Linked DNA regions of Oryza sativa Japonica Group. Each later gene encodes a partner of the first gene's protein in a complex. Links are inferred from orthologs where the notes say so. Each region holds a gene or a part of one and is shown in the gene's direction. Other genes may lie near its edges.

Region 1 (4,590 bases):
GACGGGGAGAGAGTCAGAGGGAGGGGGGGAGGGGAAACGAGTGGGTTTGGTCTTTTGGTGGCGTTTCGGGAGTGGTGAGCTCTGGGTATGTACGAATTCCGTTGAATTTTGGATCGAAATTGCTAGAAAACTTTTGCAAGTTCCGTGGAGTTTAGTTCCAAACTTTTTTAAAAAAATTTTTAACTTTCCATCGCATCAAAACTTTCCTACACATACAAACTTCTAACTTTTCTGTCACATCGTTTCAATTTCAACCAAACTTCTAATTTTAGCGTGAACTAAACACACCCTTTTTCTCTCAAAACTTTCAGATTTATGGTCATCGGGTTACTGGAGATTTGTACATTCAAGAGATAACATTGCTACAAAAATATCATACATGTTATGTGCAAGATCTCGGTGCTAGTCAGCCAAACCACGGTTAAATACATGTTTTATATAAGTTATACCGTAGTTACAATACAGTTACAGTACAACTATACTTCAATTATAATATAATTTAATCTCGAAGTTTTACACTTAAAAAATCTACGGCAGTTTTTTACACACTCCAATATTACTCTTGTATAGTACCTAGATGTACTAACTTGTAACGAAATAAAGAGTGTTGTCTGTCTATTTAAAATTGGATACACGAATTTCATTGAAATTGGCATGGAGGCGGGTAATCTTGGTGTTGTGGTCTTGCGGTGGATTGTAACTTGTAAGAAAATGGGGATAGTCGTCTATTTATTTGAAACTGGGTACATAAATTTCGTTAAATTTGGCACCAAGGCAGATAAAATGAGTGAATGTATGCCTTTTTGGGAATTTGAATGAATCTTTCGTCAGATTTATAGTTTGACAATTTCAGTTAAAATTTATCTCCCTCGGTTACAAATTTCATCAATTGTTTATGTATCGAATCTTTAATTAAATTGTATTATTCCATCATTTTACTTTAAATGATATCTCTCTAGGCCACAACTTTCATTACATCATTGTCTCGATTTTTATGTACATATAGAAATTGTAGTGTGCTAGCACATATATGTACATAAAAATTGAGATTATGAACTTGGAGCTAGAAACTTGAAACTTAACCCTTTCAGATTATCATCAGCCGACTAATCACAAGCGTCTTATAAGAATCTTTATAAGAATCTCTAGCTCTCTATTTAGGTTATTATCATTGTTGTCGTGATCGTCGATAGCCCATCCTAACTACGCATGTTTTCTTTGTTTATACAATATAAATATGTTTTTTTTCCAATAGATGCAGCAGAGTCATGACCTATGAAATTGATGATACGGCACGGTAAGATTTTATTCGCAACAAATAAGTCGATAAAACAACAAGCCCATCTTAAAAATAAATCCAAAGAAACCCAACCCAAAAGAAGGGAAGGTCAGGCGATGGGCCCAAACACGAGCCAAACAGGCCCATGAGCCCTTGTACGGCCCATATGCAGGTGATCAGCCCACCATGGAACGGCCCACGTAGCCCACCGCCTCTCCTCGCCACCGACTCAATTCACCCAAAGGTCCCAAACCGTCACAAAATAGTTAAACCAATTCCACGATTCCGTATTCTTCCTCACGACCTCAAAAACCCAAACCAATCTACTCCGCCGCCGCCGCCGCGATGGTGTTCGTCCGCGCGCCGGACGGGAGGACCCACCACGTCGACCTCGACCCCTCCACCGCCACGCTCGCCGACCTCACGGCCTCCGCCTCCCGCGTCTGCGGCGGCGTCCCGCCGGAGCAGCTGCGGCTCTACCTCGCCCACCGCCGCCTCCTCCCGGCCGAGCCGTCCCCGCTGCTGTCCTCCCTCCGGGTCTCGGCCTCCTCCTCCCTGCTACTCCACCTCCCCCTGCTCGGAGGGATGACCGGCCCGACGACGACCCCCGCGGCACCCCCGCCCCCGCCGCCGCCGTCGGCGCAGCCGCCCGCCCGCCCCGCGCGCTACGACTTCCTCAACTCCAAGCCGCCCCCGAACTACGTGGCCGGTCTGGGGCGTGGCGCCACCGGGTTCACCACCCGTTCGGATATCGGGCCGGCCCGCGCGGCGCCCGATCTGCCTGACCGGTCCGCCGCCGCCGCCGCCGCCCCCGCCGTCGGGCGCGGCCGTGGGAAGCCACCCGGGGACGACGACGGCGACGACGATGGCGGCGACGAGGAGAAGGGGTACGACGAGAACCAGAAGTTCGACGAGTTCGAGGGCAACGACGCCGGGCTGTTCTCCAACGCCGACTACGACGACGACGACCGCGAGGCGGATGCGGTCTGGGAGAGCATCGACCAGAGGATGGACTCTCGCCGGAAGGATCGGCGGGAGGCGCGGCTGAAGCAGGAGATCGAGAAGTACCGTGCTTCCAACCCTAAGATCACCGAGCAATTCGCTGATTTGAAGCGTAAGTTGGTCGATTTGTCGGCGCAGGAGTGGGAAAGCATACCTGAAATTGGGGACTACTCGCTGCGCAACAAGAAGAAGCGATTTGAGAGCTTCGTTCCCGTGCCGGACACCCTGCTCGAGAAGGCTCGGCAGGAGCAGGAGCATGTCACGGCACTGGATCCCAAGAGCCGTGCAGCTGGTGGCACCGAGACGCCATGGGCGCAGACTCCGGTTACCGATCTGACGGCTGTGGGCGAAGGTCGTGGCACCGTGCTCTCCTTGAAGCTGGACAGGTTGTCGGATTCGGTATCTGGTCTTACTGTTGTTGATCCAAAGGGTTACTTGACGGACCTGAAAAGTATGAAGATTACTAGTGATGCTGAGATTTCTGACATTAAAAAGGCGCGATTGTTGCTTAAGTCAGTGACACAGACAAACCCGAAGCATCCACCAGGATGGATTGCTGCTGCTAGGCTTGAAGAGGTTGCTGGCAAGCTTCAGGTTGCTCGGCAGCTTATCCAGCGTGGCTGTGAGGAGTGCCCCACAAATGAGGATGTTTGGGTCGAGGCATGCCGGCTGGCCAGCCCAGACGAGGCAAAGGCAGTGATTGCTAGGGGCGTGAAGGCAATTCCCAATTCTGTGAAGCTGTGGTTGCAGGCAGCAAAGTTGGAAACTAGTGATTTGAATAAGAGCAGGGTTTTGAGAAAAGGGTTGGAACACATTCCTGATTCAGTCAGACTGTGGAAAGCAGTAGTAGAGCTTGCAAATGAGGAGGATGCAAGACTGTTGCTTCACAGGGCTGTGGAGTGCTGCCCACTCCATGTGGAACTGTGGCTTGCCCTAGCAAGGCTGGAGACATATGACCAAGCAAAGAAGGTACTTAACAAGGCAAGAGAAAAGCTTCCTAAGGAACCTGCCATCTGGATTACAGCTGCAAAGCTGGAGGAAGCTAATGGAAACACCCAGTCAGTAATCAAGGTGATTGAGAGAAGTATAAAAACTTTACAGAGAGAAGGATTGGATATTGACAGGGAGGCATGGCTAAAGGAAGCAGAAGCTGCTGAGCGTGCTGGATCTGTATTGACTTGCCAGGCTATTGTTAAGAGCACTATTGGCATTGGTGTTGATGAGGAAGACAGAAAACGCACATGGGTTGCCGATGCTGAGGAATGCAAGAAGCGTGGTTCAATTGAGACAGCCCGTGCCATCTATGCGCATGCACTCAGTGTCTTCGTTTCCAAGAAGAGTATTTGGCTGAAAGCGGCTCAGCTTGAGAAGAGCCATGGAACCAAGGAGTCTCTTTATAATCTCCTCAGAAAGGCTGTTACCTACAATCCACGTGCAGAAGTTTTATGGCTTATGAGTGCAAAGGAGAAATGGCTGGCTGGAGATGTCCCGGCTGCCCGAGCCATTCTTCAGGAAGCTTATGCTTCTCTCCCCAATTCAGAGGAGATCTGGCTAGCTGCCTTCAAGCTTGAGTTTGAGAACAATGAACCAGAGAGAGCAAGAATTCTTTTGTCAAAGGCCAGGGAAAGAGGAGGCACTGAGAGGGTCTGGATGAAATCTGCGATTGTTGAAAGGGAGTTAGGGAATGTAGACGAAGAAAGGAAGCTGTTGGAGGAAGGTCTGAAGTTATTCCCCTCATTCTTCAAGCTGTGGTTAATGCTTGGACAAATGGAAGACCGGCTTGGCCATGGATCCAAGGCAAAGGAGGTTTACGAGAATGCACTGAAGCACTGCCCGAGTTGCATCCCTCTTTGGCTCTCTCTAGCTAATCTAGAGGAGAAGATAAATGGCTTGAGCAAGTCACGTGCTGTCCTCACCATGGCAAGAAAGAAGAACCCAGCTACACCTGAACTCTGGCTTGCAGCAGTTAGGGCTGAATTGAGACATGGGAACAAGAAGGAAGCTGATGCTCTACTAGCCAAGGCATTACAGGAATGCCCGACAAGTGGTATTTTGTGGGCTGCAGCTATAGAGATGGTGCCACGTCCCCAGCGTAAAGCAAAGAGCTCAGATGCTATAAAACGATGTGACCATGATCCCCATGTCATTGCAGCTGTGGCCAAACTTTTCTGGCATGATAGGAAGGTTGATAAAGCTAGAAGTTGGTTGAATAGAGCTGTTACTCTTGCTCCAGACATTGGAGATTTTTGGGCCTTGTACTACAAATTTGAACTGCAACATGGAAATGCTGATACACAAAAGGATGTCCT
Region 2 (4,394 bases), on another chromosome or scaffold:
CTCGATTAGTCGGGAATTTTAAGGTGGCAGATGATATAACTCCAATCAAGATCGAAAACTTTGACTGATCGCTCGAAGAAAGTGTAGCAGTAGCTTACATTTCGTGGAACATGACCTCTTACAGTTTGCATCTGTTTGAATTGTCCATGTACTCCGACTAAATGTTCATTAAAATCAATCAATGTTGGAGTCTGGGGCAATGGAATCGCATATTTGAGTTTCGGAAACTCCAGAAATCGCCCATATTAGGCAACAGGAGACACATCCATACCTAACTTTATTTTAATAGACCATTATTTCTTCTGAGACAAGAGTCATCTATAACACAAACATTCGGCCGGGTTTTTTTTTTTTTTTTTTTTTTTTGAGAAATAATAGCCTGGGATGGACTTGAGACAAGTTCGGAATGCAGGAAAATTTCTAATTAAACTGAAGTCTGCATGTTAGCTTAAATATAAGCCTTAGCCAAAATTTTAATTTTGATACTTGGTTTTGGAGTTCTTTCATCGTATTCTATTATCTAGCCTTAGCTTTTAAGTTGCCGAGAATAGATATAAAAGTTTTAACCAAACTCTAATTATTTGAAACAATTTTAGTTGCTCCGTTTATTAATCTAAGGCTTATTAGCTGTTGCTACTAAACTATCATCGCCTTTGTCCAAAATGCAGTTCGTGTACGAAGCGGACAGAAATCCGATTTTTTTTTTTTAAAAATAAATTTCATAGTATTGTAATTATTTGGTCAAAATTATTATTTTGCTATCTACAAAGCTACAATAATAGTGAATGATTTTATTAGAAAACTATAAAATTATATCGTTTTAGTGTATGTAACACGTGAACCCAATATACAACAACATGAGTATTCATATATGAGTATTCATATATGTATGATAGGTGGATCGAAACATTTTGAATTTTTTTTCCTAGTTGATTACATTTGTAGAAAAATAAAATAATATTTTTTACATAAAACAAACCTATTATCAAAATATATTAAATATTAGTTTTAATAAAACTAATTGGTGTTATAAAATTTATCAAACTTAAAAAAGTTTGACTAATTAAAAAAATCAAAATAACTTATAATATAAAATGGATGGAGTAGGATATAAAGTTGCAGCTTTCTAATAAATCATATGTTATTGTTGCAACTATCCGAAATGCTTGATTAAAATTGAGTTTCGATAAAAAAATAGTTGTTGTGTTTCTTTTTGTTTTCGAAATTTACTCGGAAGAAAAATCACGTGTTTAAACTTCAAACAAGGCATGAATTTGAATTATGAACGTCTGGAATCCGCAGCTTCTCCCCCTCTCCGGCGGGCCCACATCCCGCAGAAATACTCCTCACCCCAGCACCCTCTCCCCCGTCCCGTCTCCGACTGCGACCAAAAATCCCCCGCTCGCTTGGCCGCTCCGGCGATCCCCTCCCCCGGCAGCGGAGGCGAAGCTCACTGTCGCAATCGGCGCAGCTGAGCGGAGCCCTTGCCCGCCATGACGGAGGTACGCTCTCCCTTCTTCCTCCGCAATTTTCCGGCATCGCGCGTTGCCCTGTTGCCCTCCGCCGCCCGCTGTGGGGATTCGCGCATCGATCTGAACGAAACCACGGTGCTTTTTTCTCCTTTGGGGGGTTTCTCGGTGATGGTCGGCGTCTTCCGAGTGCGAGTTTATACAGGATTAGCTGATGTTTAGGGATTTTGCCTCTGTTAGTCACTTGGTCTCGTGGATTTCGATGAATTAGGGTTAGTTTCGTAATTCGTATGCTGCTTGTGCATGTCCCTGTGTGTTCGGATGCTATGGGAGAGTAGATAGAATATGCGGCTTGGTGAGGCTGGACTGAGGAAGATTTTGCCTCTGGACTGGAGTGATTCCATCTTCATATGGGTGCTTCAGTCATCTTATGTTTTTGTAGATTGAGATAGTTAACCAAATAGGGCTTTGATTCTTTTGGTAGGTTAATGGTATTTTTTAGTACTTGTTTGTATTCAACTGTAATTGAATTTGAAATGCTAAGTGGAGATTAGAGACTGAAAGTCCCAATGTGATGTATCATGGCAATATTATCAATTCTCTTTCTGAATAAATCAGGATACAAATGCCTATTGTGTTCGTTTATAGGAGAATAGTTAGTTGTTTTTTCCTTTCGAAAAAATTCGTGTCCAATCATTCATATGATCTATGTTATGCTCTTAAACTCTGTTGTTGCAAGCATCCAATCCTGCTAATTGACTTTTTGGCATCAATATTTTTTACCATTGCGAGAAAGAGATTATTTAGTCACTATCTGAAAAGGTGACAGTACAAGAAGCAACTGTAGTTTCCTTCTGGTAGGAATACAGGGTCCCTATTAGCCCTTTGAAAGTTATCTGCGATCATCTTCTTTGACATTTAAGTTGTTGTACACTGTCATCACAAGCATCCAACTTTGCAAGTGTTTTTGTTATAAATAACTTTTTCCCCTATCTTTTTCCAGTACTGGGTGAGCCAAGGAAACAAATGGTGTGACTTCTGTAAGATTTACATAGCTAATAACCCGCTAAGCATCAGAACACATGAAATCGGTAAGCGCCACAAGGACAATGTCACTAAAAGATTGGCAACCATGCAAAAGGAGGGTGCTGCCAAAGAAAAGGAGCAGCAGCAAGCAGCCCGGGCCCTCAAGCAAATAGAAGCTGTAAGTTTGTAATGCTGTTTTTTTCCCCAGTATGTTGGTATCCTAATCACCTAATGTACATATTGTTATGTCACAAACTACAGAGCTTGTGAAGGGTAAACACTTCTGCATTGATAAAACCATGTAGGCTTTTTCTTTTTGAATTTATCCTTTCCCTTATTGCTGTGTTGTTTCAATTTATCTTGCAATTGGTTGATTTATGAACTACCATGCCTTGTTATTTGTAACTTACTGTTCACTGCAGAAAGCTAAAAAGAGCTACCAAAAAGATTTAGAGAACAGTCAAAGGAATGTGGACGGTGACACTTCTGCGGCACCTGGAGATGGTGTGTATGGCTCACCGTTGTCTATCAATAGTGTTCTTCAATGCCTGATCCACTGCATAGCCTGTTTTCTTTTGTGCCATTAGTTATCTCTGCTTTGTATAAAAAAAAAATAGGCCTCCATATCTGATGAAGCTATCCCTAAGCGCTTTTATTTGCGAACCCTTTTGTTTAATCCTAAAATATAAAATGAGTCCTTTGGATGAGGTACTTTCTTTTTTTAGTAAATTAGTATGGAGTATTTCTTTCTGCAATTCCAATTATATCAATACTTTAATCCTATTTATTACTCCTGGAATTTTCTATTTATGGGGACAGATAATACCTCACCCTAGGAAGAGCCGTTTTGAAGGATGACTAATTTTTAGAGGATATATGCTTGCTATCTTCCTTCCCGTCCTTTGTTTAGGATAGTGAAAAATATTTTTTCCTTTTATTTTAGGAATTTTGGGAACATCCTACTTCTCTGTTATGCTTTTGTAGGATTTTTTTAGTTGATGGTTAGGTTAATTCACCAATCTTGAGAGGGTTTAGTTGGTCATGATTTCTGTTTTCTCTTTTTGTTCACTATTTTGAGCTTGTATTAACTTGTTGTATTAGTCTTATCTTCTTAATTTTTTCTCCTGCTGATTCTAGTTTTTGACATGCTTGAAATATATTCCAACCTAGCTCATGTAATACAATACCTTGGTTAGCAGAAATGTCTAACTACTGTCAATTTTCAAAGCCTAAAATTGTTTTATCTTAAATCCGTCCTTCAAACATATCTTTCTCTTGGCTCAAATGTATGGGAAAATATGTAACCTGGAAACTACTATAGGATGTAGAAATGAATGTTTGAGATTTGTCCATGTCATCATGAGTAAAACTTTTACTACCAAATTGAGCCGTGAGTAATACTTGCTCTGCTACTATGTTGACGATAAATTTTGCTAACAATTGCATTAATGTTAATGAAATGATGTTAGATTTTCATGAACTGTGCCCTAGCAGAATTATTCTGGTTAGTATGCTTAATACTCTTAAGTCTTTACTGATGATTATATGTCATTAAAGACAGGAGAACAGATGAACAGACCAGTTCCTACCTTTAACTGGAACACTGAGTAGCATGAACCATGATGCACTGTTTGCATATGTGCGCTGATCATTCTGTCCGCCAGCACTACTACAATTTTCGCTATTTAACAATATTTGTTCAATCTGTTAGATAACATCCTGTTTGTGCAGGATGGGAATTCGACTCTACTTCAGGATACTATTATGACAAATCTACTGGACTCTATTTTGACTCAAATTCTGGTTTCTACTATTCTGACGGTTTAGGTACTTCTCTTAACATGTGTATCTGGATCTTTAAGTGGTTATGTCATGCCTTTGAGGGAGCTGCTATTTCTC

Evidence for each region.
Region 2: protein STABILIZED1 (region 1) and zinc finger protein ZOP1 share a complex: the UniProt entries of both Arabidopsis thaliana proteins name them as parts of the pre-mRNA splicing complex. The link is inferred for Oryza sativa Japonica Group from reciprocal best matches to the Arabidopsis thaliana genes EMB2770 and AT1G49590.

The regions. Positions count from the first base shown.
Region 1 is NC_089044.1:19,703,911-19,708,500, reverse strand, and holds the start of protein STABILIZED1, read left to right. Parts: upstream 1-1,547; 5' UTR 1,548-1,624; coding exon 1,625-4,590. UniProt on the Arabidopsis thaliana protein: Pre-mRNA splicing factor required for splicing and for the turnover of unstable transcripts. May be a U5 snRNP-associated protein involved in the formation of U4/U6-U5 tri-snRNP. Involved in responses to abiotic stresses.
Region 2 is NC_089040.1:6,025,184-6,029,577, reverse strand, and holds the start of zinc finger protein ZOP1, read left to right. Parts: upstream 1-1,368; 5' UTR 1,369-1,493; coding exon 1,494-1,502; intron 1,503-2,472; coding exon 2,473-2,673; intron 2,674-2,917; coding exon 2,918-2,999; intron 3,000-4,226; coding exon 4,227-4,322; intron 4,323-4,394. Other genes in the region: dipeptidyl-peptidase 5, read left to right, coding at 1-68. UniProt on the Arabidopsis thaliana protein: Nucleic acid-binding protein that promotes Pol IV-dependent small interfering RNA (siRNA) accumulation, DNA methylation and transcriptional silencing.